Regions from separate parts of the Mus musculus genome. Here regions 2, 3, 4, 5 and 6 are each reported to be linked to region 1. Evidence: microRNA targets listed by miRTarBase, many of them from high-throughput screens and not tested one by one. Region 1 holds a microRNA gene; each other region holds the end of a gene's coding sequence. Distances are from middle to middle.
Evidence for each region. The annotated mature microRNA mmu-miR-149-5p reads UCUGGCUCCGUGUCUUCACUCCC and lies in region 1 at 2,267-2,289, shown strand. An mRNA with a match to its seed (bases 2 to 7 or 8) in the 3' UTR can be bound and repressed. Matches are read on the target gene's strand: a 7mer-m8 pairs with bases 2 to 8, a 7mer-A1 pairs with bases 2 to 7 and ends in A, and an 8mer does both.

Region 1 (5,333 bases):
CTATCACCATTCCTGTCTGCATCCCCCCTCCTCCATGCATTCACCTCTCATCTTCAGTTCCATTCTCTCGCAGCTGTACCCCCACTACAGCCTATCTCTGTCTCATCCCCTTCCCATCAAGAGCTTGGTCATCAGCCCTGATGTCCACTCATGTCTCTCAGCTCCCACCTCCATCCCATCCCCATCTCCCTAAAGTTGTGCTGCACCATCCTAGATATTCCTCTCTACCCCATCCCTCCCCCTGCACCCCTCAGGCTGCCGCAGCCCCCTTTCCGCAGTAAGTCCCCCTTCCTCTACTGAACCCATCCCCCCTTTCACCCCGCCCCCGCCGCCACAGCCATGGCGCTCGCTTTTCTCCCTCCTTTTTCTGCCGCCGCGCCCACTGCGGCAAGCCCCTTCCCCGCCAATCACATCGCCCTCTCTCCTCTCCCTCCATCTCCCGCTTTCCGCAGCCCCCCTCCAAATGCCCCCCTCTGCCTGCCGCAGCACTCAGCTCTCCGCACCAGCCGCGCCCACTGCACCAGCGCCCCCTCCTCACTGCGGCGCCAGAGCAGGCGCCTGCATCTGCAGCTCCGGCTTATCTTACCGGCTCCAGCTGTACAGAACCATCCCCGTTGCAGAGGAGGCAGCGGTCGGTCGGAGCTGCAGGTGTCGCCCAGGCTTTGTTCGCCCAGGGCCTGGCCTGATGCTGGAGAGGCAGCTGGCAGGAGCCCTTGCCTGCCCGGAGATGACCCCTCCCATCGAGTCCATAGAAGTGCCAGCAGCCGATGCCCCCCAGTTAGGGGGTCCCTGTTCGTGATGGAGGTTCTTCTTGGTGATGTTGCCATTTGGGTGAACCGGAGGCAGGGGCTCGGGAATCATGAAGGCATCCAGGAGGGTGGAAAAGTATTGGGAGTGAGGTGGGGGCGGGGAGGGGATTGTGCTTGATGCTTTTCCAATTTCAGAGATGGAGTTGAAATGTCTTCCTTCGGGTGTGACCCCCGGGGACTAGACAGGTTTGTTGGGGAACAGGAGCAAGCAATGGGAAAATGCCCCTGGAGCCTGGGCAGTGAGTAGTCCCCCAGAAAGCTGGGCCATTTGCTCCAGGCTGTCACGTCCTGGAGACTCTCAGCCTCTGGGGCTGGAAAACCCAGGAGCACAGAGGGCTGGTTTACTTCTAACCTACCAGTCAACAGAAAGGCCTGCTCTAGGAGCCAGCAGCTGGGGAGGGGAGTGTAGCCTGTGCCTCTCCCTTATCTGCGGTGCTGAGAGATTATACTCCGAATGCCCCTACACTCCCCCAAGCCGTGCCAGCTGGAGTGTTTTAGGGGCCGTGAGGGAAGTGGGCTTTCCACTCTGCATCTCCCCCGTGAGCACAGGAAGCTTCTAGAAGAATGGACCAGAGGCGGGGTAGCATGACTCTGCATTATCTTCAGAAGGTGGAGGGTTTCAAGGCATTGGGTCCCTGAAGTGTCAGGGGAGGTCAGGTCAGAGATGTCTGTGGGTAGCATCAGGATGCTGGACTCTGCTAAAGTCCTGGGGTGACTGTGGATGATGACCAAGAGGGATGCTGCCTCTGTGAGGGAGGAGCAGGAGCTGGAGCTGTCAGCAGGTGGCAGGAGGGTGTGACCCTGAAAGGTAGGAAGCCACAAGCTGCTGTCTGCTCTGGAGAATAGTGGGGGGCCGGGGGTGGGGTGCAAGCAGCCAGATTTGGGAGGAGGTAAATGAGCAGTTGCTGCCCATGGGTTTGCTGCAATGGGGTGCCATGCTAAGTGTCACAAGAAGCAGGGGTCTTGGAATTTGAGAGGCTTTGGGGTTGGGGACAAGGCTTAGAAAAGGGACTAAAGTGGGGAAAACCTGCCATTAACAAACAACCCCCTTCCCCAAATAAAACCTGTGAGTGCCAGGGGAGGGTAGTGCCCCCCAAAAACCCAGGAGGGAAAGATCTGGAAAAATGAAACCAACTCTGAGAGAGATGGGCGGGGTCAGTGGGGAACAATACTGCCGCTCCACTCCCACCCACCTTCAGGGCTGGCAAGGAGGAAGCTGCTGGTAGGGTAGAACGGAGAGACGTTCCTACGATGGGTATGTACTCCAGTGCTTTCCTGGAAGTGTAGAGAGCTTTGCAGAGCCTGCCTTAGCTGTTCTGATGTTGAGCACCTATGGTTCCAGTTGGGCTGGGTCTCAGCTCCTCTATCTTTGACCCTCAGCAAGCAGGTCTGCCAATGCATGGGCTTCTGGGCAGCCTGACCCAGCCTGCCCGGGGCCCTCAGGCCAGTGCCCAGGCTCTGGCTCCGTGTCTTCACTCCCGTGTTTGTCCGAGGAGGGAGGGAGGGACGGGGGCGGTGCTGGGGCAACTGGAACAGCGCAGGTCACCGGGCTGGCTGGGTGAGGTGGCCAGGCAGAGCCAGGGGGCTGCAGGGGAGGCCATTGGATGGGGTATGCTCATAGTAGCTGGCCAAAAGTCTCATGGGTCCCATTTATCCAGAACCTGCCGTGGAGTGGGGCGAGTTTCTGTTTCTGAGTGTGTGTCCTTAATTAACTTCTTCCTGTTTCAGCTTCGTTCTTCTGTCTATGTGGTGAGGGGTGGCAATTGGGACCACTAAGATGGAGAAGGATGTCAGAGGAGCAGAAACCATGGGAGGGGCCAGTAAGGCTGTGCCCACCTCTCTCTTGCCAGTGCTCTGTTGTGCAGCCTGGTCCTCAATATTTCCACCTAAAACCTTTGGCCTACACACACAGAGTGCCTCTGTCCCAGCTGAGCCCAGGATGGCCCCATCCTGATACCTGCAGCCTCCATCCCCATAGCTGTTTCCCCACTCACTGCTGAAGTCAGAGATGGGTCATCCTCTACAGTGCCCCCCATGATTCCTCCTCTAACAGAAAAACCCTTAAACCCCACCACTCAAAGAGAGAGATGTGGCATATCACCTCAGCCCAGCAGACCATGGCCCGGAGCAGAGCAAATAGAAGGCCCTGCTGGGCCCTGTACCTTGTTGTGCCTGTAGCCTGCTTGCGGGTGGATAATCTCTGCTTAGCCCTCCCTACTCTAGAAGGAAGGGAATCAATCAATGGATGCAGATCAAGTGGCAGGACCTAGGCTTGCAGCTCCCAGCTGTCTGGGCACCAACCCAGCCCTTTCTTGAGGTTGGGTGCTTAATAACATGTTGCTTCCCAGGACCTGCAGTCCCTGTGAAAGGCAGGTGCCCTGGGCAGGAGGAAGCAGTGTGGTAGGAGCAGAGGGTACCAGGTAGGGGAGTGGTGGGAGGGGCATTCCGTGTGCACCTCCCATCTCTGACTCCCTTTTCTCTTGACTCCCCCAAGCACCCTTGAATCAGAATACAATTCCTTCTGTTCTTCTACCAGCTGTCAGCCACTGCCCTGCTCTGTGGACCTTTGGGGACCCTGAAACCAGGTGGGACTCAGCCTGTGAGGCCAAAAGTCCCCAGGGTTCTGGGATGAAGCACAGCTCCCATGCCTTAGTAAGCAGGAGAAGGGCTAGGCCAGGCCCTCAACCTGAGACCTGGAAGAGCAGATCTGAAGGTTGCCCTACCTAGGGATGGAGGGGTGGCATCTGGGGATATATACCTTCCATGTCAGGTCAAAATCACAGAGGCTGTACACAGTTCCACTCTGCAATATGCACACACACACACACACACACACACACACACACACACACACCATCCAGCACACATAAATGCTTGTGCTTACTAAGTGCTAAAGACAAGGATGTGATCATGTAACAAGCTCTTAAGGGTGAATGCAACCTCAGAATCTCTCCTTAGTCAGAGATCTCCACTCCCAGTTGGCTTCAGGGGAGGGGGGTTCATAGAAATGGGGCCTAACACATAATGGCCTCATCCTGAGGTCACAGGTTCCTGCCCCCACATGCTTCTTGACAAGATGTCCACTCCCCTCTGGCTCAGTCCCCCACCTCTGATGGCAGCCTGCAGTATCACATCCTGGAGTTCTTCACATCCCACCTTTCCCATCAACCCGTCAGCAAGGATAAAGCCCAGGTACCAGCCCTGGCACCTACTCTGGGCTCTGGAAACTCTGCATTTCACTGGCTCCCCATAACATCAAAATCAGCATTCCTGCACGAGGGAAGCTTCTAGAATCCCTGCTGACCGCTCCCTCTTCTCAGACCTTTCACCTAAGGCTGGGCCACTGCCTCTGCCTTTTTGATCCACCCAGTCCCTTGTAGGGACTGTAGGGCTCTGTCTTTAGGCTCAGAGACAGCAGTGTGACCCTATGAGAAGGGAGTAGAACAGAGTGGGGTCAGGCATAGGCCCAGTCCTGAGTAGCTCAGCCCCCAACTGGGACAAAAGCCAGTCTCCAAGCCTCAGATTCCCTGTAAATTGGTGTCACTATAGCCTTAGCAGAAGGTTTCCTCTCCCATTGAGGTTTTCTTCTGATGCCAGGAGACTCTCAGGTGTGTGCTGTAAGGGCTCCATGGTAGACACTTTGAGGCCAATTGTAGGCCCAAAGCAACCCTCTGTCAGCAAGTGGCAGTTGATATTGTCCTGAATGGTACTGCTGCAGTGCCACCAAGGGCTGACAGGTCAGCTCACCAGCCCAGGATAGATGGCGGGGGAGGGAGTTTCAGCCAGAACACTATGGGGACTGGGAATGTGTCCAGCTAGTGGGAACCTCAGGCCAGGGTTGAGTGGCCTCTGTTTGGGACCCAGTGCCTGCGCAGAGCATGCTTTTCTTCACCCCAGAATGGTACCCAGGGCCCTTGCAGAATGCTGACACAGGCCCTGCAGAACATTCATGGGGCACTCCACTCTGCTGTCAGTCAGGTGGCCTCTGAGACTGGCCTGAGCTAAGAAGAGGCTGGATTTCTTCTTCCTCCCCCGGGCAGAGGCACCTGCCAGGCTCGAAAGCCTCTATCAGGTCCCCAACCTAAGTCGGGCAGCCTCTCCCTCTATGTGAGGGCTGAGCTGGCTCTCAGGGAGCCCTGCTAGGACTCTCATTGCATTCCTGAGATGCTGGACTATGTCACACAGTACTCGTAGTCTGAGGCTCAGCCCTCTGATAACTATGATAACCTGTGGTACCCCATCCCTGAATCTTAATCAGAGGCCCTGGGAGGTCAGAGACACTGGAGCCCAGCTTTGCCCTACAATGTGCCCCCTCTCCCCATCTCTGCCTTCACAAAGGGCTCCTAACCTGAGCTGAGCCCCATCTTGGGCAGAGCATCCTGGACCACTGTTCCCCCTCACGACACCCTTTGCCGTCCCACAGGTGAGCACCTGCGGATCTGCCCCCAGGGCTACACTTGCTGTACTAGTGAGATGGAGGAGAATTTGGCCAACCACAGCCGAATGGAGCTGGAGAGCGCACTC
Region 2 (5,333 bases), 80 Mb from region 1:
AGTCAGACGACTCAGACAGAGAGCCGCCCCCTAGTGGCCCCAGGAATACGCCGGAGGAGGGTCCTCACGAAAGACGGCCGGAGCAATGTGAGAATGGAGCACATTGCTGACAAACGTTTCCTCTACCTCAAGGATCTATGGACGACCTTCATTGACATGCAATGGCGCTACAAGCTTCTGCTCTTCTCTGCAACCTTTGCAGGCACGTGGTTCCTCTTTGGTGTGGTGTGGTATCTGGTAGCTGTGGCCCATGGGGACCTGTTGGAGCTGGGACCTCCTGCCAACCACACGCCTTGTGTGGTGCAGGTGCACACGCTCACCGGAGCCTTCCTCTTCTCCCTGGAATCCCAGACCACCATCGGCTATGGCTTCCGCTACATCAGTGAGGAATGCCCACTGGCCATCGTGCTTCTTATTGCGCAGCTGGTGCTCACCACCATTCTGGAAATCTTCATCACAGGTACCTTCCTTGCAAAGATTGCCCGGCCTAAGAAGAGGGCCGAGACGATCCGCTTCAGCCAGCATGCCGTTGTGGCTTCCCATAACGGGAAGCCTTGCCTTATGATCCGGGTTGCCAATATGCGGAAGAGTCTCCTCATTGGATGCCAGGTGACAGGCAAACTGCTTCAAACGCACCAGACAAAGGAGGGTGAGAATATTCGGCTCAACCAGGTCAACGTGACTTTCCAAGTAGACACAGCCTCAGACAGCCCCTTTCTCATCCTACCCCTGACTTTCTACCACGTGGTAGATGAGACCAGCCCCTTAAAAGATCTCCCGCTCCGCAGTGGGGAGGGGGACTTTGAGCTGGTGCTGATCCTGAGTGGGACAGTGGAGTCCACCAGTGCCACCTGCCAAGTTCGCACTTCCTACCTACCGGAGGAGATCCTCTGGGGTTACGAGTTCACGCCTGCGATCTCACTGTCAGCCAGTGGCAAATACATAGCTGACTTCAGCCTTTTCGACCAGGTTGTGAAAGTGGCATCTCCCAGTGGTCTCCGCGATAGCACCGTACGCTATGGAGACCCCGAGAAGCTCAAGTTGGAGGAGTCATTAAGAGAGCAAGCTGAAAAGGAAGGCAGTGCCCTTAGTGTGCGCATCAGCAACGTCTGATATCCTGTTCTCTCCTCCCCAGCCCTCTGGCCTTTTCCTCTTCCAGTGCTCTGGGAAAAGGATACAATCTGGGTTCGCTGGAGAGACCCTGAAGCACCCACCCTCAACTTCCCCTTAGCCCGGTGGCCTGTGAGCAGTCGGGGCCTGCTGGAGCCCTTCCTTTTCCTCTCACTGTCCCCTTGTACCTTCCTCTACCACTACACCAATGTATATGACTCTTAAGCCAGCTTGGGGGAAAGAGAGGGAAGATGAGGCTGACATGGCTTGGAAGGCCGCAGCCATGCTTGGAGATTCACATTCAGAGGACCATGTGACTGGATGGATAGACTCCCCCCCAAACGCCCACCACTAGAAAATTTGATGGCTTGAGACTGGAGCTTCCTCCTTTTCTCTTCCATCTAGCTAAGTTCCCTGAGGCAGAACTCTCTCAGAGAGTCACTCTATGGGCTCTGCCCTCAGAAGTACTGGGATCTGAAATCAGTTTTCCCTGGGCTATCAAATCCTGAAGAAAGAAGCCAGAGTTTGTCATGGTGTTTTAATTTCAGCTGGTAACTCCTGACAGAGCCTGGACTCTTGGTCACCACCTAATTTTCCCTCTCCAGTTCTCAAGTGGATCTTCTCAGCAAAGCCGGTTCTCTCTCAGCTTCTGTTTCTGTAGAACTGGGGTTGACTCGAGAAACACAAGCAGCCACCTTTCCTGCACCCATCCTGGATTCTGAGAAATTCAATTTTGGAAATACTGTCTAATACTCTGGCCCTGTCCTTTGGGCAGCTCTGTCCTGAAAAGATATGTTTTAGTGTTTCCTGGGAATAGGAAGACCTTAACCAATGCTCTCTCTCTCTCTCTCTCTCTCTCTCTCTCTCTCTCTCTCTCTCTCCCTCCCTCCCTCCCTCCCTCCCTCCCTCCCTCCCTCCCTCCCTCTCTCTCTCTCTCTCTCTCTCTCTCTCTCTCTCTCTTTCATGGGCTGTCCTTGAATTTACTATGTAGACTAGGCTGGCCTTGAACTCACAGATACCTAGCTGCCTCCGTCTCCCATATACTGGGATTAAAGGCATGAACCACTATGCCAAGCCCCCAATGTTCTCTTGAATAAGTCCATTGCACATACCTCACGAAAATATCTAAAACCATCCAGATTACACTGTACCAGTTCCATTGCTTCCTTTTCTCCCACCCCAGACCTTCCCTTAACTCAACCTTTTGAAGTAAGAGAGGGAAACATGGTCATTTGCCTTTCTTAACATCGATCTATTAAAACTAGTCACAGGGCACAGATTCCCCAGGAAAGCTGAACCCACTTCTCAGATTTCCAGATTGCTGTACAGAGCCTCGGGGAATTTGTGATGTTTTGTTATGGTTTGGGCTGAGGCAGAACTCTGGCTGACAGCCACTATTTTGTTCCATCTCCTGGTGCCCTTCTGAGAAGTGCCAGCTATTTTATGAGGCAATGCTGAGAGGAGAGGAACTTACATTCTGATCTCTGCCATTCTGACACCTGGCATAAAATGATGAAAACCAGCGCCATCTCTCCTCTTTTCTGCCTACGGGCCAGTTCCAGGCAAATTACAAAGACAGCTTAAGATCACACCCAAGCCATTCCTAGTTCTCTGGTGAGGGTTGTGGCAGGGGTCATGGAAGGGCATTTGAAGCACCAGGTCCTGTCCTAGTGAGCTTTGGCTCCACTTGGGTACCCAGGAAACCTCGCAAGGTAGTTTGGCAGGAATGACGTAAGCTGTAAGGTGGACTTGACAGATGACAAGCGACACATCTATACAGAATGCATGCCCGGATCTCTGGGCAAAGCCTTGCAGAGAAACTCAGAAGATCCCAAGACTGAGTGGATCTCAACTGTGCACAGTCTTTTTACGTTGGTCTTCCCTTGAACTCAATTAACTGTAGCCTGAAAACGAAGAGCCTTTGGTCTCTCCTTACTGTAAAGCTCACCGTTAGCCTCCAACTCTCATCAACAACCAGAACCAGAAGAACCTGAATGTCTGAAACAAAGAGCAGAAGGCAAGAGCCAGCTTATGTGCTTTCAAATACATTCAACGCTGCGCTTACCTGATGTGTCCAGTGTGCAAGGACCATGTGTACTGCTGTGTGTGTGTGTGTGTGTGTGTGTGTGTGTGTGTGTGTGTGTGTGTCTTCTTATCCTGTGGCAATTTATCCTCTGTCCTGTTTCTTCTTCACATTGCTGCTTCCCTTCTGAGGGAATGACCCTCGTCCCAGAGCCTTGCCAAGGCCCAACTCTCCTCAGAATCTTGGATAACAATGTGAGAGAGCATTTCCTGCCTTAACCCCTTTTGAACTTCCTCTACAATCCCAGGCTTTGCTCTAAGTTGCACTTTAAAATCATTTAAAAATCATTAACATCTGTCCTGTTAATTCAGAATTCAGAACGGCACCTTTCTCCAACAAGCCTTATGTTCTGCAGAACAACTCCCACTCACAACCCTAAGTGGTTCTTTAGATCCCAGCCCGACTCTCTGACCTGAAATCCTTTCTCAGGATGCAGGGCAAGCTTTACTAACAGCCACGGCTGATGAAAAATGGGTTCCCTGTCTGTACCAGCTAGAGACTTGGAATGTCAGGAGAATAACAGGTGCGCCAATTCTAAGTGGGATGGGAGATTTCAGGTGAGCAAAACGACCAATGGGGAAGGATCTCCAGAGTGGGGAAAAAGTGAACGACGAGGCTAAGGGGCCTAGGGAGATGAAACTCAGAGTCTTACTTACTTATGACTGACACACAGGAGGTGGGGGGAAACTTGGGAGATTGAGATATGATATATGTTTATCTAAGGAGAAAAACAGAGATAATATATACAGAGAAATGTACATAGATGTACATATACCCAAATATACGGACTGTACAGAAGGAAGTATTCAGACTTTAACAAAGGGACAAATATTTTGCCTTGGTTTGGGGGAGCAGGATAGCTGGATCTTCTGTGTTATGGTCTGAACAACAGTGACAGTAGCTGATGGTTTTAAGTTTGCTTGATGGAAAAGGGAGGGCTAGACCCTGCCCTTTTCATAAATAAAGGAGCATCCGTCGAGGTTTGATGAATTGTGCTGGCAGGACAAGAGGAAAACTAGGAGGAAATGGGACACAGGGATGCTCCACTCATGGAGAAGTAGGAAAATCTACCACTCACACAATCCCTGGCCAACAACCTGCCGCTGAACAAGTTCTAAAACAAGCAAGCAAGGGAGCAAGTAAGCGATCGAGCAAGCGAGCAAACAAAAGCATCCTTCCATTTTCCTCTCTTCTTCCACCAAGATGGGAGCTGTAGGTCTAGGCCCCATCATTAAAAATTGAGAAGCTGAAATTTTAGTACGGGGGGGTGTGTCAAATGCAAACACTAGAATGCAAGCCCTAGGACTGATGAGCTGTTGAGCTCAAGATACTCTCAAGGCAGAGGCCCAAGCCTATATAGAGAAATCCTAAAGAGGGTACTTCATCTGTCATCGTCTCAGCCCCGGCGTGGAGGCAGGTGAATGCGATGGCTACAAGGCTTCTTGATGGAAATGCAGAATTCTGCTTTCCTCTTCCCCAGAGGCTGATGCAGTTCTATGCAAAGCTTCTGAAATCCCTAACCTGGGCTTCACTTCATTCTGGCTGCTCCCTACTGTTCCTCCCACTCTCTGAAACCCACACCAGCTAGCACTATGCAGGGATTTCCCTGAGGTCAGCAGAAAAAGAAAAGCAGTCGTAATGTGGCTATTAGCCAGGGACATTGCACATTCTCCAAGGCTTGCTACCACAAACCTTTACCCATGCTAGCTAACCTAGTTTCTTTGCAAAATAACACATTACCTATGCTGTGCATAGCTGGGCTTGCAGGCCCAGTATTGGCCAGTGCTACTGAAACAGAAGAATCTAGGGATGATTTCTCTACACGCTGCATTAAAGACTAAACCAGGTCAAATGTATTTAGAAAAAAAAAGATGTGTGAGGCATTTTTGGTTTATTTTTGTCTGTTCAGAACAAACTACTAAATAAACTGGATGCATCTCTTGTTCTCACTGTGTCTCCTTTTAGAAAGGGAAACCTATCTTGTTATCAAGGTTTGAACTCATAGGCTGAGTTTGGGGAGAGGAGGGTTCAACTAGGCTCTGTTGGAAGAACTTCCCATCCAGTGGCCAGCCCTTCCTGCTGACTTTTCCTCACACTGGAACATTTCAATAATGGTTTCACCCAGTCCTTTTCTTGCTCC
Region 3 (5,333 bases), not on the chromosome of region 1:
TGCTAAGGACATCTGAGGGGGCAGTGCTGTGAAAGTTCAATACTAGCCCAACAGGAGTTGTGAAACTGAGTGAGGGGCATGGTGGCAGAACTTAAGCATGTCCTCAGCTCTGGGTAGCACCAGGCTACAGTGTCCATACTGTGTGTCCTCCTCCTTCCCAGGTGGCCAAGCTGCCGTTTGTAATCAACGATGGCAAATGGCATCACATCTGTGTCACCTGGACCACCCGGGATGGGGTCTGGGAGGCCTATCAGGATGGCACCCAGGGTGGCAATGGAGAGAACTTGGCACCCTATCACCCCATCAAACCACAGGGCGTGCTGGTGCTGGGTCAGGAACAGGTACTGGCCTGGGCAGAGGGCGAGGGAGGGAGTATGTGTGTGTCCATGGGTGTGTGCCGGGAACAAGTCACATCATAGTTCAGCAAGCTCCATGGGAGTGGGCCCAGGTCCCAGCACTCTTGGGAAACTGCAGCAGGCCTCTCTTTGGCACGGGAAGCCCAGTTCCACTTTTAGCAATGAATAATTTAGTTCCTGTGAAATGGTTCATCTCCCACTGGGCACGGACTGGGAGGGAGATGAGGGGACAGGAAGTCATCTTCCATTCCTGTTGAGCCATCTTGTCTTCCAGCAGATAGGGTGTTTGAGAGGGGTCGGAGACACTGTGGCCTTGGCTGCTGATGGCTCTCAACAACCTCTTTCTCGTTATTGCCCTGGGGATTGGGTGGTATCTCAAGACCCCTGGAGGGGTAGCTTTGCTAGGCTTCTCTGTCACCCAGCCAACCCCTTCTCTCTCTCTCTCTCTCTCTTCCCCCACTCTTCTCCAAAGGACACTCTAGGTGGAGGGTTTGATGCCACCCAAGCATTTGTGGGTGAGCTAGCCCATTTCAACATCTGGGACCGCAAGCTGACCCCCGGGGAGGTGTACAACCTGGCCACCTGCAGCAGCAAGGCTCTCTCTGGCAATGTCATCGCCTGGGCTGAGTCCCAGATCGAGATCTTTGGTGGAGCCACCAAGTGGACATTCGAGGCTTGTCGCCAGATCAACTGAAGGCTTCAGGCTAGGGCTGAGCCCCCAGCCCCAGCGCCTGCCCACCCTGCTTGTGCGGTGACCCATCGTCTCTCTTCTCCCCTCCCCCCAGGAATGACTCAAGGCCATGGCCCCTGCACACGCACACGCACACAGCCTGGTTGTCCTCCTTGTGCACTTGAAGCAGTCCCGGCTCTTCTCTGGCCCCCAAGGACACCCCCTTCTCTCTAGGGGCCCCACTATATCCTGGGCATACCTAGCTAAAGCAGGCAGCATCAGCTTTGACAATGCAGAATTTCGTGAGAAAGAGAGAGAGAGAGAGACAGAGAGAGAGAGACAGAGAGAGAGAGCGCGAGTGTGTGTGTAGGGAGGCTTTCTTCTAGAATGAGTTAGTTTGTTCCCTTCTTTCTGTGTGATTGTTGTAAGTTTCCTGATGGGTCGGCTGCCTGTGTGCCTCAGGGCTGGTGCGGCTTCCTGGACCACCCATTTGTCCTTGTTTGCAGACCTCTTTGGGAGTGATGTAGGTCTCTGTTGACATAAGTCAACAATGGTTTGTCAAGGTTGGGGGGGTGCTTTCCACAGGAATATTTGGGGGGGATGATAAGTGGAGTCTCTGAAATTCAAAGGCTGGTTGTCCAGGGATGGCACCACCTACCAATCAGCCCCTTCCCACGTCCCCATCAGGCTGTCTGCTGTCTACATCTGAGGGTGGCATGGGCTGAGCCCCTCAGCAGCTCTACCCCAGGACTGCTCCTCACCTCACCCTTGGCCTTCCTGCCTCCTTGTATCTTATCAAGGGACCTGTTATTCCCTTTCAGCTTCCAAAGCTACTTCAGCCCAGTGGTTCTGAGAGGAGAGTGCCCTTCCAGAGTCCCAGGACACAGGGCCTTGGCACCCACCCTTCTTCCTCCCTCTGGCAATGAGAGACCAGAGGCTTCAAGTGGGGGTCTCACGTGCTCGGTCTCAGCGCTAGAGAATACCGAGACCTGATCCACAGTCCGTGGGAATGGTCTCCCACGGCATTTTTCACAGCCATACTCCCTCCCCCCAGCGCACCCAGGCCCGGGTGAGCTAGCTCAGACCCCTCAGGGGCCAGGGGCTCAGAAACCTCTCATGTGGAGCCTGCTGGCCGGGGTGGGTCCTGCCATCCACTCCTGCATTTCATGGGGCACAAGCCCAGCAGCAGCCCCAACCTGCCACCGGCCTGAGACACTGAGCCCGTGGCTTTTCCTTATTGAAAGTAGGCATGAGTACCCCCTTCTGGGCCTTCTGAGGAGGGGGACGAAATGCGTGTGTGCACATGTGTCTGTTGAATGCTGAGGAGGCTGTGTCCAGGCAGGGTGGACCCCTGCATTGTTCCCCCCCGTGTTGTGGGCACACACCCAGTGACACCTGGACTATGTCTCCAGTAGCCTGACTAGCAGGAGGCTGGCAAGTCTTTCTAGAAACCTACGCACTGCCTGGCTCGTCTGCAGCTGCAGACACTTAATTCCTCAACAGGAGCAGGTTTTCCACCTGCTGTTCCTTCCAGGGGCACCTGTCTCCTTCCACACAGGTCCATGTTGTGTCTGAAACTAGTGCATCCGTGTCTGTCTGTGTGCTGTCTGTGTCACTGTTCTTGTGGGTGTCTGCACAGTTCCCTGGTCACTGCTCTGTGGTGCATCCTCTCTGAGGGTGCGGATCAGGCTGTGCTCCACCCGTTGTCCAGCAGTGGCTTTTTCTTAGATAATTGTGCTTCCTCAGCGCCCGCCGGGTTGTGGCATCCTTGGATCTGCGGGGATCTTCTGTGTTTGCATGTTCCTCAGGGTGGTGTGTCCCTTGCTCCCTTGGTCTGACGCGTGTTCCCTTGCCTGCATGGACTTCTCTGGTTCTGTGTTTGTGTGCTGAATGCCACCCAGTGTTCTGTGATCACCCATGTAGCTACTGAAAAATGGCTGGGTAAGCAAGCCAGGGGTGTTGGGGAGGTCAGGAGAGAGATCAACATGCCTCTCCCCTCCCCCTCCCCAGACATAGCAAGAAGCATTTCTAACATCTAGGTTGAGAACAAGCCTGAATGGTACCCATGGTTGGGAGAGAGAACTTGAACTTCAAATCGACTTTCCAGACCAGATCGAGCCCCACCCTTACTTTTAGCCTTCTGGGAGCCACCACCAGGCGAGGCCCAGAGCCGGCTATGCCCGGTGTACTCCTGCCAACCCCTGCCACCAGCCCCAGCCCCTGCCAATGCGGACCCCAGACCACTTGCACCCAGACGGGTGGGGTGGGAGCTGTCCGTTCAGGACCACAAGCCATCCTCTGCCCTGGCTTAGAGGGCAGAGCACACCCCAATGCTTCTGCCTCTGTCACTTCATCTCTCCACTCCTCTCCCTTCTCCTCTCCCCTGCGGCACCCACGGTGCCAGGGACAGACGCTGACATCTAGCTCTTGCCCTGCCCCTTACTGGAGTCTGTGCCAAGCCCTCCTCTCCGTCACTGTGTTCACACTTGGCACTTTGCTGGCCCTGAGAAAGGTAACGACAGCCGCAAATCTAATCCGCATATTTCCCATCGACTCCGTAATCTGATTGATGTTCCCTCTTGCACTGAATAATACATGCCTCTCTCAGGTAAGCCATTTTATAAAATAAGAGATAAAACGCACTGTCGAGACAGTGTTTGCTTCTGCCGATGGTGTCCGACAGCACCCTGGGCATTAGGGTGGTAGAGCTGCCACGGAGGCTCCCAGGCCCTAGGGGCTGAGAGCTCACTTGAATTGTAAGCCTTCTTGCTTTTGATAACACAGTATTATTTCTCTTACTGTAGAAGAAAAAGTTTATTACCAAACAAGAGTATTTTTATGAAAGAATAGGACAAACCTATAAATTATCTCAACCTATATCTCCCTTGAAAATACTTTCAGGCTCCGCCAAAACCTAGGACTGAAAGCAAGTATTTTGGAAGAAAGAGATACATTTTTGTATGCTTTCTTTTCCTTTTGTAGACGCCCGACTTATTTTCTAAGACTGCAAAGATCACTTTGTCACCAGCCCTGGGACCTGAGGCCAAGGGGTTGTCTTGTGGGCAGTGAGGGGGAAGGACAGGCTGGCCTGAGGTTCACAGTCATTCCAGTGAGCTCTGATGAGGGGCCACCAGATCTTGAGGGTGTGTAAGGGACCAGGAGGTTAAAAAGAAAGGCCCCTGATGGTGGGCTCTTTGTGTTGGAGCTGAAAGGTTATATGGAAGGAGATAAGAATTTGGATACCAGTTCTGAGCTTGATAGAAGGAATTAGGGTCACTCTGGCTAACATAGGGGTACAGCATCCTTAGTAACCCGAGCGTGGCTCGAAGTGGTCATGATTTCATCCAAAACACAATGTGTAAACTTACTCAGCTAACAATGGGAAATGTATTGCTTCTGTGCGCAGTGGACTTACGTGCAATTTGTTCAAAAGGGAACAAGTCATTGAGGAGAAACAAAAGCCCAATACTTAGAGTCCCAATTTTGTCTTATTTGCCAAAAAAAAAGCAACCCCCCAAGAGTTGATATTGTTACAATGTACATACTGTAAAATATGAAAGAATCGATGTATCTTACTTTTTCATTATTTGCTAACCAAAGCTGTACATTTTTCATACAATCCGCAGCCTTTTGAGTATCAAAGGGGTAAACCACACCCATCAGCCATTCTGGAAGTGCACTATTTATACTGGTATCCTTGCTTTTTTTTTCCCATTTTCTTGCTGAGATGACATGAATTGTTAAGTTTATTTTTACACAGTAAAGAGTGAAGAAAGACTGTGGTCTCATTGGATTCTTTCTCATGTGTGTGTGTGTGTGTGTGTGTGTGTGTGTGTGTGTGTGTGTGTGTTTGCAAGAACATATTCAGGCAAATGTGTATGCATTTGAAGGCCAGCGTTCAACACTGGTATCTCCTTCAGTTTCTCTCCACTTTTTTCTTTCTTTTTATCTTTATTTTACATATGGGTGTTTTGCTTGCATGTATGTACGTAATTATGCATGTATGTACGCCATTTGTGTGCCTTGTGTCAGCAGAGACTAAGAGAATGCATCAGATCCCCTGGAACTGGAGTTACAGGTAACTTGTGAGCCATCATATGGGGTTGGCAGCCAAAGCCAGACCATCTGCAACAGCACTCAGTTTTCTTAACTGCTGAGCCATCTTTCCAGACCCTCATCCCCACCCCCACCCAGCCTTATTTTTAAAAACAATTCTCCCACTGAAACTGGAGACTACCAATTCATCTAGCCTGGATGGTCAATGAATGAGTCCTGTGGATCTGCCTACCTCTGCCCCTGTCCAAGCT
Region 4 (5,333 bases), not on the chromosome of region 1:
GGTCAGTCCCCTTGTGTCAGGGTCCTGTCATAGGAGGGGGGGGGGGTGCCTGGCTCCCGTGCTGTCTGCCTTTCTCCAGGGTCCTGGTGTTAAGTTTCTGCTGTGAGCTACACACACTGCTGTTCTTGCGATTTACCTACAGGTCCCCTTAGCCACCTCGTGAGAGCACAGAAGCCTCCATTTCACGTGAGGAAATGGCAGGAGCTTTCCCTGAGAATGTGGAGTGGCTGCTAACCCACATGCCTCCCCTCAGAGAACAGTCAAGGTTAGGAAGTGACCTGTGGTCCTGTCTTGGATCTATCCATGGAAGAATGACTCACTGCAGGGACCAAGGGGCATAGTTGGTGGCTGTGCTGACAGAGCCATGATACCTTCCTCATAGAGGACACGGACTCTCCTCAGCTCAGGAGGCTCTGTCCACACTCTAGGGCCCAAGGCAGGTTAGAGCATGGGGACACAGCCTCATCTTGACCCTCAATCCAGGGAAGAGCTACAGCCCGAGGAGAAGCCAGCCCTCCTGTAACCCTTGGGTGCTCTTTCCACACAGCTGAGTCAATACACTCTCTCTCTCTCTCTCTCTCTCTCTCTCTCTCTATATATATATATATATATATATATATATATATGTATATTACTCAATTTTAGGTTGTGCCTAGTAGCTTCACAGATAAGGCACTGTCACTGCCATAAAACCCACAACTACCTTACTGCCCTTCCTAGGGAACAGTGTTGAGGCTATAACAGCCCCTGTGGCTGGGCTCTGTGGAGACAAGCGCTGAGCTTTGAGCAGGGGAGAGCTGGGGTTAAAGGTGTGCACCAGCACCACTGGCTGGCTATGTACAAGTTTTGATCAGAACTTCTGGATGTGGGTGTAGGGGACAGAGCACAGGAGGTGGTCCCGAGGGCCTGTACCTTGGCTTTAATGAAGGTTGGAGCCAGCTGTGAATAGGTCCCGGCAGAGTCGTAAGGGTAGAGTCCCAGGGGAATCCATCCTTGATGAACGCCAAGACCACAAAGGAGGGGCTTCTGGTGAGACTGTCCTTGACGGGTAAAACCACAAGGCTGGCATCGCTTCCTGTTCCTTCCATCGGTGCCTCTAGCCTGTGTCTAGCCTGTGCTTCTGTGCCTATCTTGGGGTAACTCTTCTTGAGGTTGAAGAGATCAGGGAAATTATTCCTGCAAGGACCCATCAGCCTCCAGAGCTCACGTGACTCTTGTGCAAATAGCTTGCCTCAAACCTGAGAAAGCATTGGCTCCAAGATATGGAAACCATTCTGAGCTTGCACCCTTTGGGCTCTTTGCTTCCAATGGGGGGGGGGGGGGTTCTAGCTGAGACAGCCTCGGCTGTGTTAGTGACTTGAGACCCACAGGAGAGTCCTCTGGGGTTGCTTCTCCAAGCATCTATACCACTCTAGGCTGTCACCGTGATTCAAAGACACTGACATGTCTGCCAAGTCAGCGCAGGATGGCCCTTGATTAGGGAGAGCTCATCTGGCTTGCCACACCTGTTCTCTGCTACCAGTGGACGTCTCTCATCTTCCAGTACCGTTGGCTCTTTTCCATCCCACATTTAGTTTTCTAGTGTCTCAATCCTAGGATATATACCCTTACAGCATCACGATCAAAAGTGTGGGCCCCTCAGTGTTGCTGGGAACTGCACAGGTTGTGTCTGCAGGCTATATCCCTAGCAGGAAGGGACATTCCCTCAACCTCTTCTCTTCCTCACAGGGGCATCTTAACCTCTGGGCAGCACCAGAATCAAATCGAGACATAGGTGAGACCAGTGGTCTGCCATCTGATTTTGTCATTCTTTTTTCCGAAGATGAGAGTTCTTGGATTCCAGGTTGGCATCAAACTCACTATCTGACCAAGAGGGACTTTTGATCCTGATGTCACCACCTTCCAAGTGCTGCACTACCATGCCAGGTTTATTCAAACCCAGGGCTTTGGGTAAGCTAGGCAAACATGCTACCAACTGAGCTACATCCACACCCAGGCCTGGAGCCAATCCACATTTCAGCCAAGTAGCCACCATGTCGCACATGGCTATGATTTGTCACCACTCAGCATGTCACAACCTTGTGTGTGAGCAGGGTTGCAGCTCATGCTGAAAGATGTCACCCTTTGCCTTTTGGTGCTGGCATTACGGGACTGTGCCATGTTTCCACAGCTCTCAGCTCCACCACTCAGACAGCAATGCCTAAAACTTCCAATTTTTCTCCACATCCTTGCAAACAGGTTTTTGGATTTTTTTTTGGACAGGGTCTCATTGAATAGTCCCGGCTAGCCTGGAACTCGAAATGTACAGGAGGCTGGGCTTGAACTCAAAGAGGTCCTCCTGACACTACACCTGGTGCTACCCCCAGCTCCAATGCTCAGGAACATGGGGAAAGGGCTGTGGATCCCTGCTGTGAAGTGGCAGGTCTGACTTTAACTCAGCGTACCCCACTAGACCTTTTCACAGACAAGTGTTCTGAGAGATGGTTTGGAAAATACACAATAGCTCTCTTGGGAAACAGAACCTAGGGTCTTAGCCATGTTAAGAGTGAGCTCTACCACTGAGCCATGAGAAGCCTCAAAGGGCTTCCACTAGCTCACTGTTGGGGTTATGTGATTACTGTTTGAACAGACTGGAGTCAAGACCTGGCAGTCCACTCTCACAACAGGGCCTGCACTGAGACTGAGGGCATCTCAGTTAGCCTGGGTGCTAGTTAGCCTAGGACTTTCCTGGAGTCACCATATAACAACCCTTGGGCTTACACGGTAACAGCCAACAGTGGAGATGAAGGCTCTCTCTGGATTGGTCTGTCTAGTCGCAACAGACAGCAGTGAGGGCAGCCCACACCTCTCCACAGCCCCATTTCCCTGGACAGGGTAGACAGGGCTTTCCTTTGCCCATGCCCCTTCCTGGACATGTCACCCAGGTGTAGCTGGGTTTGTCACTAGCAGAACATCTACAGATTTTGACTATGTAGCCCTAGAATTCTCCATGTAGACTAGACTGGCCTCAAACTCTGCCTGCTTCAGGTTCCCATGCTGGGATTAAAATGTGTGCCACTATGTCTGGCTTCTTTTTTCTTTTCTTCCTGGCAGACCCTTTTGCCCTGTCTCTCCTCTCAAATATAAAATAGGCACATACAGTAATTAGCTGATACGTGAGGAGGGGCATCCATTACCAACAGGGAAATGGATTTATTGCTTCATAAAAAGAATCATGATAAAACAAGAGAAAACCATAAACTTAAAAACCAATGTACCCCTCTTGGCACCCCAAGAGGTCTCAGGCAGGGTTTCTAGGGGTTGTCAAGGCAAGGTGGGTTAGTGAGCCAGGCAGGCCGGCTAGGCTTCTACTACATGAACCGTTCCAGTCCCCTGATGTGAGTCTGCCAGCAGGGGGCACTGTGATCACACCGATACACACAGGTCCCCATCATAAAGCAAGGCTGACTCCTATTTTGAGCCTGCTGTAGGGCTGGCTGGCTTCTGGTCTGGTCCACTCTGATAAAAGCAGCCCCTGGGGCTAGCCTCCTACCATATACACACATGCACACACACGTACCACATAAACACACACCCCTCGGGTTACTCACTAATCCTCTTCCCTATTTAGGCTTGGCTCCTCATGTCTAGTCACAGCCTTATTTCCACCCCAGAAAAACAGCTGTGGGTGGATGGGAGGGTGCCCTTGTGGTGTCCCCTTAGTTCCCTTCAGGTTGCAGACTGGAACAAAGCGTGCCAGCAGAGAGACACTGCTCTGGCTCCGGAGGAAGAAGCCTGGCCCAGGGCTCTTGAGGCTTTGTGTAAATAGTCTGCCCTCCACTCCTTCCCCAGCCTGAGACAGGGGGGGCTTCTTCTCAGGCTTTCAAGGAAAAGAGGGGCCAGAGACTAGCCACGGGCAGGGGGGTGTTGGGATGACAAAGGGGTTAGCACCAACAACAGGAAGCGGGTCCTTCCTTCCTCAGGCAGCCAGACTGGCCAGGGGAGGTAAGGGGCCAAGCAAGGGGAGTGCAGACAGCGCAAGCCTTTGTCCTCAGGTGGGCGTGGTTGGTGGGCGTGCAGCTCAGGGACAGGTAGTGTGCTGGAGGATGGCAGGCCCCTCTGCTTTGGCAAGAGGCAGAATCCGATCAGTGAGAAAGAGAAAGAAAAAATAAAAAGAAAGAAATGCTCGCTGAAAAGGTCCCCTTGGCTCCAGGTACAAGCCCCATGGAGATCGGGAGACTTCAGAGCCCCTGGGGTGACAGCTAGGCCAGGGCAGCCCAGCTTCTGGCAGTGGGAGGTTCACTTGTCCCAGGCCCTCTCCTGTCCCTCCACACCAGCACTCCACGGCAGGGCCAGGTGGTTCTGAGGAAGTATGGGCTCCAGTGTGGTGAAGGGCAGGATCCAGGGAGAGCATGAGGTCCTCTGGGGTGGGGAGATGACTGCAGTCAGTCACTGAAGCACAGGCAGGAGGCCACAACTGAGGCGGTGGGTGGGCACTACACGAAAGCCTCCCGGTTGGATGAGCCATTGATCTTAAGGAACAGCTTGCTGTCTTCCCTCTTCTGCTGCAGCTGCCTCTCCAGCTGGCGCCGGTAGCAGATGAGGTAAAGGGGCAGGCAGAAGCCCAGCATGCTCATGGCGAGCAGACCCACGTTCACCTGGGATGGTGGGGAGTTGGCTGTGAGAGGGAGCTGCATGCACGCAAGGCAGCACCCTCCCGCCCGCCCACCCGCACACGCAGGTCTGGGGAAGGGAAGGCGTCACACAGAAAAGACTCAAAACTAAAGAGGAGGTTCAAGGGGTCCCAGCTGTCAACCCACATTCCAGCATCTCATTTCCCCAATGCTCCTCAGCGGCCTCCAGGGAATGGGCTGGGATTGGGACAACTCATGACACCTGGATGAGAATGCTTTGGATGGAAAGCCTGGAATTCACCCCAGAATCGGATCCAGAGAGGCCAGTTTTCTCCTCCTTCCCGGTCACCATCCACCAGGGACCCCTGACTGGGTACTGTCCAACGTTCCCACACTACCTGTTGTCCTTGGGCCCCCTTCCCAGGAGCAGAATGGAGAGACACCCTGACCCTTCTTACCCACAGAGGGTCTCCTCCCAGAGGACCCATCATGGCCAGATACAGCGGCTGCTGCAGGAGAGCAAAGAGCGCACTGACCAGGGACTGCAGTCCAGTGAGGCTACCAAACTGTGTGGAGGGGTACCTGTTGGGGCAATGAGACCCATCACAGCCAGCACGGGTGACAGGCTTCCCCAGTCCCTCACTGGCCTGGCTTAGGTATACTGGTAACCAGGGCTGCACCACTGGTGCCTGCAGGGAGAGGCGGTATCAGCCTCAGGCC
Region 5 (5,333 bases), not on the chromosome of region 1:
CTGACAGGCTAACTCATCTACCACACAGCACCAAATCCAGAGCTTTGATTGGCCCACTCCGACATCTACTTCATCTATCAACTACTGGAGCTCATGAAAGATCCGCTCCTAGAGATCTCCATGACACGGGGCAATAATAGAATATAGACGTTGAATCTCAGTGAGGATCCAGTATTGATAGTGTAGTAGAAGCTAGAGGCTTTGAACCAACCAATGGCTCAATGCAATGAGCATTTTCAAGTAAAGCTGTTTGAACAAAAGGGTATACTGTGTGACACCAATAGCTAGATTGGGGGTGGGGGTTGGTTTTCACTGTTTCTTTCTTTTGGGAAAGGCTGCAAGAGATGAGGGACAGGAACATGAGTGGAATTGGGGCACATGATGTGAAACTCACAAAGAACATACAAAAGATTTTAAAAAAAAAAACTTAAATATCTGGTGCATTTTTCCTCTGAGTATGTATTCTTTCCCCATCTCTTCTGACTAGTTTTGGTTTGAAGTCTATTTTGTTAGATATTAAAGTGGCTAAACCAGCTTGTTTGGAAAATCTTTTCCCAACCCTTTACTCTGAGGTAATGTTTATGCTTGATGTTGAGATATGTTTCTTAGATACAGCAGAATAAATCCTGTTTTCACATCCATTCGGTTAGTCCATCAATAACCAATGACATGTTTTGGTGATGGTGGTGTGTGTGTGTGCTTCCATTCTTTTGTTTTTGCTGGTGTGAAATTATTTCCTGTATTTTCATGAGCGTAACTAACCTCCTTAGAGTTCTCCTTCCAGCACCCTCTGTAGTGCTGGATTTGAAGATATTAAGTTTGGTTTTACTATGAAATCTTACTTTTTCCATCTGTAGTGACCTATTACAGTTTTGTTGGGCATAGCAGTCTGGTCTGGCATCTATGGTCTCATAAGAGTCTTCAGCATACCTGTCCAGATCCTTCTGGTTTTTAAGAGTTTCTGTTGATGAGTCGGGTTTACTTCTAATAGGTCTTCCTTTGTATGTTACTTGATCTTTATCTCTTACAGCTTTTAATATTCTTGGTCCTGTACATTTGGTGTTTTATTATATGGTCTTTTCTTGTCCAACCTATTTGGTGTTCTGTATGTTTCTTGTACCTTGGAGGGCATTTTCTTCTGTCTAGGGAAATTTCTATGATTTTATTGAAAATATTTTCTGGGCCTTTGAGCTGAATTCTTCTCATTCTATTACTATTACTCATAGATTTGGTTTTTTCAGTGTCCCAGACTCCCTGGATGTTACATGTCAGGAAATCTTTAGATTTAACATTTTCTTTGAAGTATCAACTTTTTTTTTTAAGATTTATTTTTAAATATTTATTAATTTATTTATTATATGTAAATACACTGTAGCTGTCTTCAGACACTCCAGAAGAGGGAGTCAGATCTCATTACAGATGGTTGTGAGCCACCATGTGGTTGCTGGGATTTGAACTCTGGACCTTCGGAAGAGCAGTCGGGTGCTCTTACCCACTGAGCCATCTCACCAGCCCTCAACTTTTTTTCTATTACATCTTCAATGCCCAATCTTCTCTTCCATCTTTTGTATGCAGTTGAAGCTTGCGTTTGTAGTTCCTGTTCGAATTCCGAATTTTTCCATTTCCAGAATTCTGTTCTTTATTGATTCTGTTTCCATTTACGGATCTTGAACAGTTTTATTTCCTTCAACTGTTGTTTTCTCCTGGCTTTAAGGAACTTATTCACATCATCCAACTGTGCTTTCCTAGATTTAAGAGATTTATTCCTCTTTAAGGACCTCTATCTTCTTCATGCAGTGGTTTTAAGGTTTTTTTTCTTGCACTTCAGCAAGGTTCTGCTGTGGTAAGATAACTGGACTCTGGAAACATTTTGTCCTGGCTGTTACTGTTTTTACACCGGCAGGTTGAGTTTTGATTTTAGAGAGCTCAGAAGGGGATGTTCTTTGAGATCCACAGGAGGTGTGAACAGGGAAGGGAGGCTGTAGTTGGGTTGGAATGAGCCTGAGGGACTGAGTTTGCTAGGGAAACACAGAGATCAGAGAAGGTCTAAGAGCAGAGTACCTGGTCTTCTAGCAGGTGTGGCCTGTAGTTGAGTAGGGGGTGTCCACCCAAGCTGAAGGCTGGGACACAGTGACAATTCAGGGAAGAGAGGCTAGAAAGGAATGTTCTGTGGGATCCACAGAGAGTGTGGGCAGTGGGGAAGGAAGGCTGAAGTTGATGTTCTGTTGCAGTGTTAGGGGCGGCCCTGAGGGATTCAGTAGGGATTTGGTCTACTAGGGAAACAGAGAACAAAACAATAAACTCATACATTCAGCAAACTTTATATTGCAAAAAGATACATCTATCTGAGCTTCTCTCACAGCTTTGCTTTGCAATGTTTATATAACACACATCAATTCTGACCCAATCACAATGGTAATTTCTTACAATGTAGATATGAAATCTATATATTAATCTACTGAAACACCCTTCAAATTTTTTTATCTGCAATTAACCATTACCAGGAGAACAAACTTTATCCTACGATGTCTCTCCTTTCCCTCAGTGTTCACTCTCTAGAAGCTGGAATCCTCTCATATCACATACTAAAAGCACAGGAAAAAATGGTTCATCTTGTTAACATAATGCCCATAAGTCTGATGAGATAATGCCCATATTTTAACCTTGAAACATAAAGTCAGGGTTAACATGTCACTTAATTCATACAGTACATTGTTAATTATCAACAGTACCCCACTGACTCAGAGGTTCTCTATCTGGCTGATGTCATTTATTAACTGTTAGACCATGACTCAACCAAAGAATGTGCTTGTATGAGGCTGCTGGTTTCATTTTAGAATTAGAATGCTCATCTTTGGGCTACTTTCAAATACAGAAATACTACATGTGGCATATGAACTATGGATTTTGTTTCCCATTACTTCAGGAAGAATTTATTAAAATAAAATTTTACGAGACAAAATGCAAATCTACATGCTTGTATTTTGGTGTATACATGTATATACTAACCCTAACTAAAGCATCACAAGCAATACTAACAGTTCTGGTTACATATTTCCAAAGACTTAACTGCTCTAAAGATACATGTTATAAAGACACTTATGTAAAAGGCAAAAATAAAGAATCAACATAGTATTATTTCAAAAAAGTTCTCTATCCCTCATAGAAGAAAACTATGCATTTTTTTATCCTACGAAAAAAAATAAAAGAATGCTATCATGTAAAGAATTCACAAAACCTAGCTGTATATCCCATAAAAGCCATACCCACTGAACGTAAGCAGCAGTTATGGTCCCTACTGAATGACAGACACACCATCACTTTCCTCTTTGACAATAGGAGTTTATCTTTCTCAAGCTCTCCTAACTGTACCACAGAAGTTCAAATCCTGTAGCAACAAGTTAAAACTACAAAATAAGGCATTCTGATTAAATGTCATAAAAGTAACAGGCTTTAAGTAGTAAAGCAGGTTCTTAATGTCGTTACAATTTCACATAATCTAGCATTACACAGAAAGTAATTTTACCCCCAAAATACAATGAATTGCTACTTTGGGGGGCACGGGGTGTTGTTCATGAATCTTTAACTTTGGCCATCTTTCCTACCATGATCTCTAAGCCTGTAGGTAGGTCACTTACTAAAAGGTTTCTCAAATTATATTAAATCTAAATTGACAAAATCCCTGTAGTATTATTTAGGGAAAGAAAGAAAAGTGGACTTGGCACAAACATGCCAACAGGTCACAAAGTTTTCCTAAACAAAACCTCCTCCATACAGAATCCAAATCTGCCATCCACCTGAAGCACGTAAGAGGCAGCAATACCACCTCTACTAATAGCACAAGGTAGAAAGCTGAAACACTGAAACATCTATTACCTTCAACTGCAGATTGTATCAAAGATGCATCCTAAAATACATTTTTTTCTAAAATCCAGATTTGACTGCTCTTCACACTTTTACATTAAATGTTCCTTAAACAAAAATAAGAGCATTAACTTCAGTATTCTACCATCTAAACATTGTAAAGCAATGGTTATACATCAGCAGCAACAGGTAAAATGCACCTAATTTGGGTCCTTGACACCTCTTGTTTAAGTTTTATTGTATGATAAAGTTCTTCACAGTTTAAAATATTGTGAAGTAAGATTTTTATATATAATTATATTCACATACACACTATGTACACATACTATTTGAGGTGTCCATAAACCTGGAATATGTGTTTATCAGTAGGGTACCCTACTTGAGCAGGAACCCTGAATAAATTGGTGTGGACTGTCAAAGTTTCCCAGAAATGCTTAGAAATAAGACAAGAATACTATTATGAGCAATTATAATAAAAACTTCACCTTATTTACATAGTGCCTATCTCCCAAGAGGTAAAGACGCTTTATGGATAGTTTTCAGTATTTGAGGCAGAACATTGGGGACACTATCAATTATCATTTTCCAAAACTCAGAGACTGCCACCACCACGTACTTTGACAGTGGCAGAGCAAAATCCAAGTACATAAAGACCTCTTGGCTCTCAGTCTCCCTTACCACATTTCAGTCTTGTGGTACAACAGAATTCCCAGCACAAAGGGTTAATGTCTAAGTCCTCCTATATCGGCAATGTGCGCTAGATTTATACCATGGGGAGATCAAATGGTATTTTGGCTTTGGCAGATGAAAAAGTCTAACATTCAGTGTGATTATAATTCAGTGTAACTTCTCCAGTCTAAGTGCAACACAGCTGATTGGTCTACAGGGGAGGGTGGGCCAATGTCTAACAAGACAACGAGTTCTTATCCCAACAGCTACTGGTGACTGACTACAGAGACAGCCCAGGACCTGGCGCTAAGTTCTTTTCTATTTCCACAATATAGTATACACATATAAATAAACATCTCAGCATAAAATGTACATTAGCATCAGTTCATGTTCAAAGGCCTTAAGGATGAACTTTAAAGGCCAAGAGTTCCTCAGAGTGCATGTTGTTTAAAGATCGAAGATCTGGCAACTTTAGAAGTAATTTTGTAAAAATGGAGGCCTCATTTGGATGGTTTTTCATTATTAAGGTCCTTAGTGCACGGATGAGTGTTTCCTGCAAAGCCTCCACTGAGTTGACATTTTCAATTCCAGATCGATCTAATGAAAGTAGAGAAGAAAGAAATATGAAGGGAAGACATTAGCAATAAATGATTACTTACTCACTGACCACTACCAAATTTGAAATAGAGCAATATATACAAGCTGTAAAAATTCTCAGCTAAAGTAACATCAATAACACAACAACAAATGAGCCGGGGATGGTAGCACATGCCTTTAATCCCAGCCCTCAGGAGGCAGGG
Region 6 (5,333 bases), not on the chromosome of region 1:
GTAGACTGTAGTCTCCTGTAAGGGACCCAAGCCTCACCCTCAGGTGATACACTGGGACCAATTGTCACAAAAGAAAAGTGAAATGTAATAACTGGGAACAAGTATTTATATTGTTTTTCAAGGAATAGTAACACTTACCTTTGCCAAAGCAACAGCCCATCTTGCTTTAGAAATGAAACACTAAGTGTTTGAGAAGCAGATCGTAAGATTCCAGTGACTGGGACAGTCAAAGTGAAGCAAACGTTTATCCTAATCAGACCCAGTAAATGCATACATTGAAAACACTCAGTCCCACATTAAATGCTGTAACATTTACATATTTCATTTTAGTGCTGTATTCCATTTTAAAAATGTATACAGCAAAAACTATTCACATTTCAATTTAAACTCCATACAGAATTGATTCTTTTACTCAAGAAACAAATTCTGTAAGTTACCACGGGAAACTCCACAGAGGAAACTCCTCTGAGACTCAGTCAGTTGGATATCTTTCTTCATAATAAAGTCTACAGAAGTCATTGAAAGTCTCAGATGTGTGTTTATCATTAGGTCATCCAAACTGAATTACCGTTCATGGGTAAAGTTAACACTTTAGGGGATATCAATCCAACCTCTTATAAACAAATGTGTACAATAGGAATCTATAATTACTGCATGATTTCTGACAAGCTCAGTATGAAGGCCAATGCTGAGAAGCTAAATCTGGGCCTGGGAAAACTACTCCTGCTTATATATTGTTCAATATATAGAATAGTGGTGTTCTCCTCTCTTGCTATTCCAAATAACTTGTATCAGATATCTCACCAATGAAATAAAATGTCAAAAGAAAAAAAATGTTTACTATTTATCAACAGTGCTATATAAAATAACATGATCTTAGTAGAAGTGGGGTTTAGAAGCAAAATTTATGCTGTCATCTCCCAACATATACACACAGATATACACACATGTAGTATGCAGAATTGAGGTGGTTTTAACACTCTTGCTTTTCCTGTATTTCTCAAGGCATATTTCTCAGATGAGGGGAGATTGTTACAAATGTTTAAAATCAGAAACATTGTTTTAAGCTAGCATGGGGTTTTGCTTCTCATATCAGAGAAATTTAAGAAGGAAAAACTACAAAAGACTAGTTGGCATTTGGTAAAACATGTGATAATGGTCTCATCACACCAATCTTCCCTCCATATACCAAGTATTCATGGGCTTCTTGCCTCAGTTAATGTCTCAAGGAGAGGAGAGCTACAGCCCACAAAACACAACAGGAAACAGCATCAAGAGGACATTCAGATGTTGCATAGCTGTGACCTCTCATACTGCTTATGATGAACAGTAATAATCAAGGGATGAAAACTGAAATTTCTTTCCTCAGGAAAACTACCACCAGTACTACACACTGTGCAGAGGCAAACGCTGCAAAGCCGAGAGGGAAAAGATGCTCAACCCTTGCATCTCATCTCCTGGGATGGAAGGCAGGCATGGAGAAACCGGGCCACAAGCTAACCGGGGTATGGAGTACTGAGAACTGTGCAGAGTCCCTGCTGAGGACACAGCCCCAGATCAATGTGGGGAACGATGTAGGCGGCTGTGGGGCTTCACATGCCAAGATGAATTCACTTCCAAGCTGAAGAATGTTTACCTGAATGGTCCTTTCAAATGCAATGGAGTTCAGACGCCTGACAGAATCATGAAAAGAGAAATGGAACAGATTTTCTCTATTTAATTTCTGGAGGGACAGGTGTGTCTGAGCACTTTCTTTGGCTGAAGGGGAACAGAATTTTTCTCTATTTAGTTTCTGAAGGGACAGGTGTGTCTGAGCACTTTCCTTGCCTGAAGGGAGCGGAATTGATTTGTTAGTCTTTCAGAAATCAAGAAATCTTAACCTCAGACTTTTAGCTGTAAAATTCCTGTTCACTGGTAATTGAACCCAAACTGGAATGTTTTTTTTAAAAAGCGATAATTTGTCCATCAAATTATCAAAGCCTTTTTTTTTTTTTTTACACTGGGCATCTTCACAGTAAGAAAGTCAGGTGGTTAAGAACCATTCAGGACTTAAGACTGACACGAACTTTCAAACGTCGGTGCGTTAGGGAGGGCAGGGAGGGGTGACCGGATGCATGCTCACACCTGCTGCCCATTGTCACATTTTATGGGTGCATTCTATGCCCAAAATATGTGAGTACTGCTGATTTCATTATTATGGGCTGAAGTATGCAGAAAGCTAACCTCTGGCAAGCAGCATATACATCAAGAGGACATGAATGGGCCAACAGCCGTAGAATGCATGACAATGTTGGATTTCTTACCAGAAAAACAATAAATGTTAAATAATTAAGATCTACATAAAATCAATATAGTTATAATGCTTACCCTCCGGGTAACAAAAGTTATCTGGCTATAAAAATTAAGCATTCTTTTATTTTCCTGTTTGAGAACGTAGTTTTGTCTTAAAAATAATTTTTCAGTTTTTCAAGAATTTAAACATTGGAAACAGGTATTTTTTTAAACGGAGTTCCAAGAAAGAAAGGAAATGAAAACAAAAACAAAACCATTTTACTTTTTTAAAAAACAAAACAGGTTAGAAGCACACATGATGCTACTCTATCAACCACTGTTAAAATGCCATTTGTGTCATTTATATTCTAAGATTCCCAAGTAAAATTAGGCTCATGACTTCTGCGAGTGGTAGGAATCATTTGCTTCCCTTCTCAGAAGATGAATGACAGAGACGAAGGCCAGGCGAGATGGAGAGCAGATGAGGAAAGGAAGCGCTGGGAGACCGAGCCCACTGAACACAGTTCAACTCTGTACAGTCAGAGAGAAGGAAGTGGCCACTAGTGACTGGGGGGAAATGGACTTCCTGTGTGAACTGCCTGTGACAGGTTCCTGTAGCTGGCTAGTACAAGGCTGCTCTCTGGTACAGTTGTAGGCTGACGCTGTACTTTATAAAGTATGACTCATATACTGTCCTCTAGATCTGCAGTGTAAAGCTACTTCATCTTTTTTATCCTCTATGCTCCCAGCATCCCTGGAATGCCCAGCTAACATTTTCCATTTTCAGAAAGGATGAATCAATGTGGATCTGAGAGAAATCAATTGTCCAGAACCAACAGCAGGCAAACAGTGTCAACGTTTTCAGTTATGTTACAGTCCCACAGGAAAGGGAGAATCCTCGCCCCTAAGCCCGGGCAATACCCTCTAGCAGGGTAGAGATCAGTGGTTGTTTGTATCTCAGTTAGAACAGCAAGGGTTGCAGAGCTGTCTTTTCAATTATAAAATAAACTCTCTATGCTTTTCCTATTAGGATTTGGTGTTTGGATATAGGATTAAACGGAATCCCAAAGATCTGGGAAGTGTCATGCAAGCAGGGTGCTTTCATAAGGGAGATAATTAAAACTGTTTCTTTACTCCCTTCTGAACTGTCAGACACAAAATGGAGATCTAGCCAGCTGCAGTGAACATAAGCTACACAGATAATCTGCCTCCCAGTGCAAGCCCTCTGACCCAGGACAGAGCAGACAGGGCATGGAACTGCCACCTGAGAGCAGGGACAACAGAACAGACAGGTACCCATCAGTTCTGCTCCAGCAAGCAAGCTACTGGGTGGGTGAAACCAGAAACGCTGCAGAATCCTCTAGTTTCCTCATTCTCTGCTCTCTGGGCTGAAAACCTGAATCATGTCAGTGTGTCTGTCTGTTTTCAAGTGTCTGTAGAAATGATCATAGGAAATCTGAATAAACATACAACACCATTTCTCGCTGTGTCTTATTAGACATTTACTTCTAGTTCCCTGGGAGACGCTGTAAGTTCAAACAAGTGGTTTTGTTATCACTTTTGGATTTTATCGTGTTTAAGAGAGAATGTGTGCTAAAAGTATGATAACCCATGTCACTTTATTGCTACAGTTTAAGTCATTTGAGTTAGCTAATGAGTTCTGCATCATCTAAGACACACAAATCAAGAAAGAACTCAATTTAAAGCAGTTATTGCAGAAGTGTACTGTATGAAGCCCTGGCTGAGCTACTGTTGAGGGGTTTCCTTATATACAAAGCACCACACTACTTTGCACAGAAGGTAACTGGGTGCCTGGTTGGACATGAGGATGAAGTCACTGTCTCTACTTGGTACAACCTGGGGCTCACGGGCAACTTGCTTCAGACACAGTGAATGAAAGCTCTCAAATAAGCAATTTTATTCCTATCCATGATTGCAGACATTTACAAAACCATAACATCTGAGTTCACCTTAAAAAATAACTTATATAAAGCAGTGATGTACACAGCACAAAATAGTTGGGGAAGGGCAGGAGCAACCTTTAATAATTAAAGTGTAAACGTGAAAAAAAGGATGGCATAAAAGTCCTACTTACTTCTACTTAAGATGTCATGTGATACTATCTTACAATGTCCTGTGGGTCAATGCACGTATGCGTATATGTGCATACAGATCTGCATATACGATGCATTCTCTTCCCACACATACACACAGATAATCATCGCAGTTCAGTTGGGGGCAATGCTAATGTGCCGCTCCGTACAGTTGCTTGAATCACATTTGGACCCGCTTTCTTCTCAAAATAGGGGAGAGAGCAGGAACTAAAAGGTGGTCTGGTTGTCTGAGATTCCTTTGTCTAACTGTACACGACGAGTAGTTTTCTTCTGTAGTAGTTCTGTGATGGGCTGACTCACGATGGTTTTCATGAGAGACGCGGCAACGGATCACACGCTCATGGTCATGCTGGGGGAGTACTACAGGGACAGAGAGTCCAGTGTTAGCAGGGACGTCAGCAGGGTTCTCCTGACACAGAGGCAAGGGATGGATGCTAGGCTCTATGAGCAATTAAGCACACACCTTTAACTTCAGGAAAATAAGGAACTGTAACAAGCCAGCTTATATGGCTTTACTTAGTTTAAAATTTGAAATTATTTCCTCTACAAAGCCTGATTCTTTCCCAGGACCTAGATAATTATGCAGTCCTCAGACTCTCCTTCCAAGCCAGATGAAAGTTTTGAGGACAGTTGAAACAATCTGGACAACTTTAGTTCAAGGGTGGCTTACAGTGAAGAGTGTGAGGCCTAGCTTTTGCTATATACAGCCCAGTGAGTGGGGGACTTCCCTGAACTCTCCTTCAGTTTTCTCCCCTATAACAGCCTTTCTGACAATATCAAGCACTTTGGGGAGTATTCAATATAAAATCCTTCAACTGTATACTTGATTCGACACACAGAAAGTGCTCAGTGAACAGTTATGTAAGGAGTCATGAGCAACTGTCAGCTCTGCTGACCAGATGCTCCAATGTGTTAACACAGAAGCCTCATACACACACAGACATGCAC

Region 2: miRTarBase lists Kcnj10 as a target of mmu-miR-149-5p. Seed matches in the 3' UTR shown: 7mer-A1 at 1,627-1,633 and 7mer-m8 at 3,132-3,138.
Region 3: miRTarBase lists Nptx1 as a target of mmu-miR-149-5p. The part of its 3' UTR that is shown has no 7-base or 8-base seed match.
Region 4: the mRNA of Slc43a2 is a reported target of mmu-miR-149-5p. Seed matches in the 3' UTR shown: 8mer at 3,754-3,761, 7mer-A1 at 3,063-3,069, 7mer-A1 at 1,491-1,497 and 7mer-m8 at 50-56.
Region 5: the mRNA of Nr1d2 is a reported target of mmu-miR-149-5p. Seed matches in the 3' UTR shown: 7mer-A1 at 2,756-2,762.
Region 6: the mRNA of Ssbp2 is a reported target of mmu-miR-149-5p. Seed matches in the 3' UTR shown: 7mer-A1 at 2,388-2,394.

What each region holds. Positions count from the first base shown.
Region 1 is chr1:92,848,115-92,853,447 of GRCm38, forward strand. It overlaps Mir149 (microRNA 149), which reads left to right and starts at 2,264; the gene lies at 2,264-2,329. It overlaps Gpc1 (glypican 1), which reads left to right. Exons shown (of 9, transcript NM_016696.5): 2 at 5,233-5,333. Gm29480 (predicted gene 29480) reads right to left here and starts at 683. Exons shown (of 4, transcript NR_166170.1): 1 at 587-683.
Region 2 is chr1:172,368,948-172,374,280 of GRCm38, forward strand. Kcnj10 (potassium inwardly-rectifying channel, subfamily J, member 10) reads left to right here. Exons shown (of 2, transcript NM_001039484.1): 2 at 1-5,138. The coding sequence ends at 1,113. Among named protein-coding and RNA genes, the nearest start is that of Pigm, 4.9 kb to the right of the region's middle.
Region 3 is chr11:119,538,190-119,543,522 of GRCm38, reverse strand. It overlaps Nptx1 (neuronal pentraxin 1), which reads left to right. Exons shown (of 5, transcript NM_008730.2): 4 at 162-341; 5 at 829-4,804. The coding sequence ends at 1,050. Among named protein-coding and RNA genes, the nearest start is that of Nptx1, 7.0 kb to the left of the region's middle.
Region 4 is chr11:75,571,619-75,576,951 of GRCm38, reverse strand. Slc43a2 (solute carrier family 43, member 2) reads right to left here. Exons shown (of 14, transcript NM_001199283.1): 13 at 5,072-5,195; 14 at 1-4,637. The coding sequence ends at 4,476. Among named protein-coding and RNA genes, the nearest start is that of Pitpna, 14 kb to the left of the region's middle.
Region 5 is chr14:18,201,752-18,207,084 of GRCm38, forward strand. It overlaps Nr1d2 (nuclear receptor subfamily 1, group D, member 2), which reads right to left. Exons shown (of 8, transcript NM_011584.4): 8 at 2,305-5,130. The coding sequence ends at 4,934. Among named protein-coding and RNA genes, the nearest start is that of Nr1d2, 35 kb to the right of the region's middle.
Region 6 is chr13:91,700,078-91,705,410 of GRCm38, reverse strand. It overlaps Ssbp2 (single-stranded DNA binding protein 2), which reads right to left. Exons shown (of 17, transcript NM_024272.4): 17 at 1-4,745. The coding sequence ends at 4,716. 4833422C13Rik (RIKEN cDNA 4833422C13 gene) reads left to right here. Exons shown (of 2, transcript NR_015501.1): 2 at 1,370-3,746. Among named protein-coding and RNA genes, the nearest start is that of Gm22778, 21 kb to the left of the region's middle.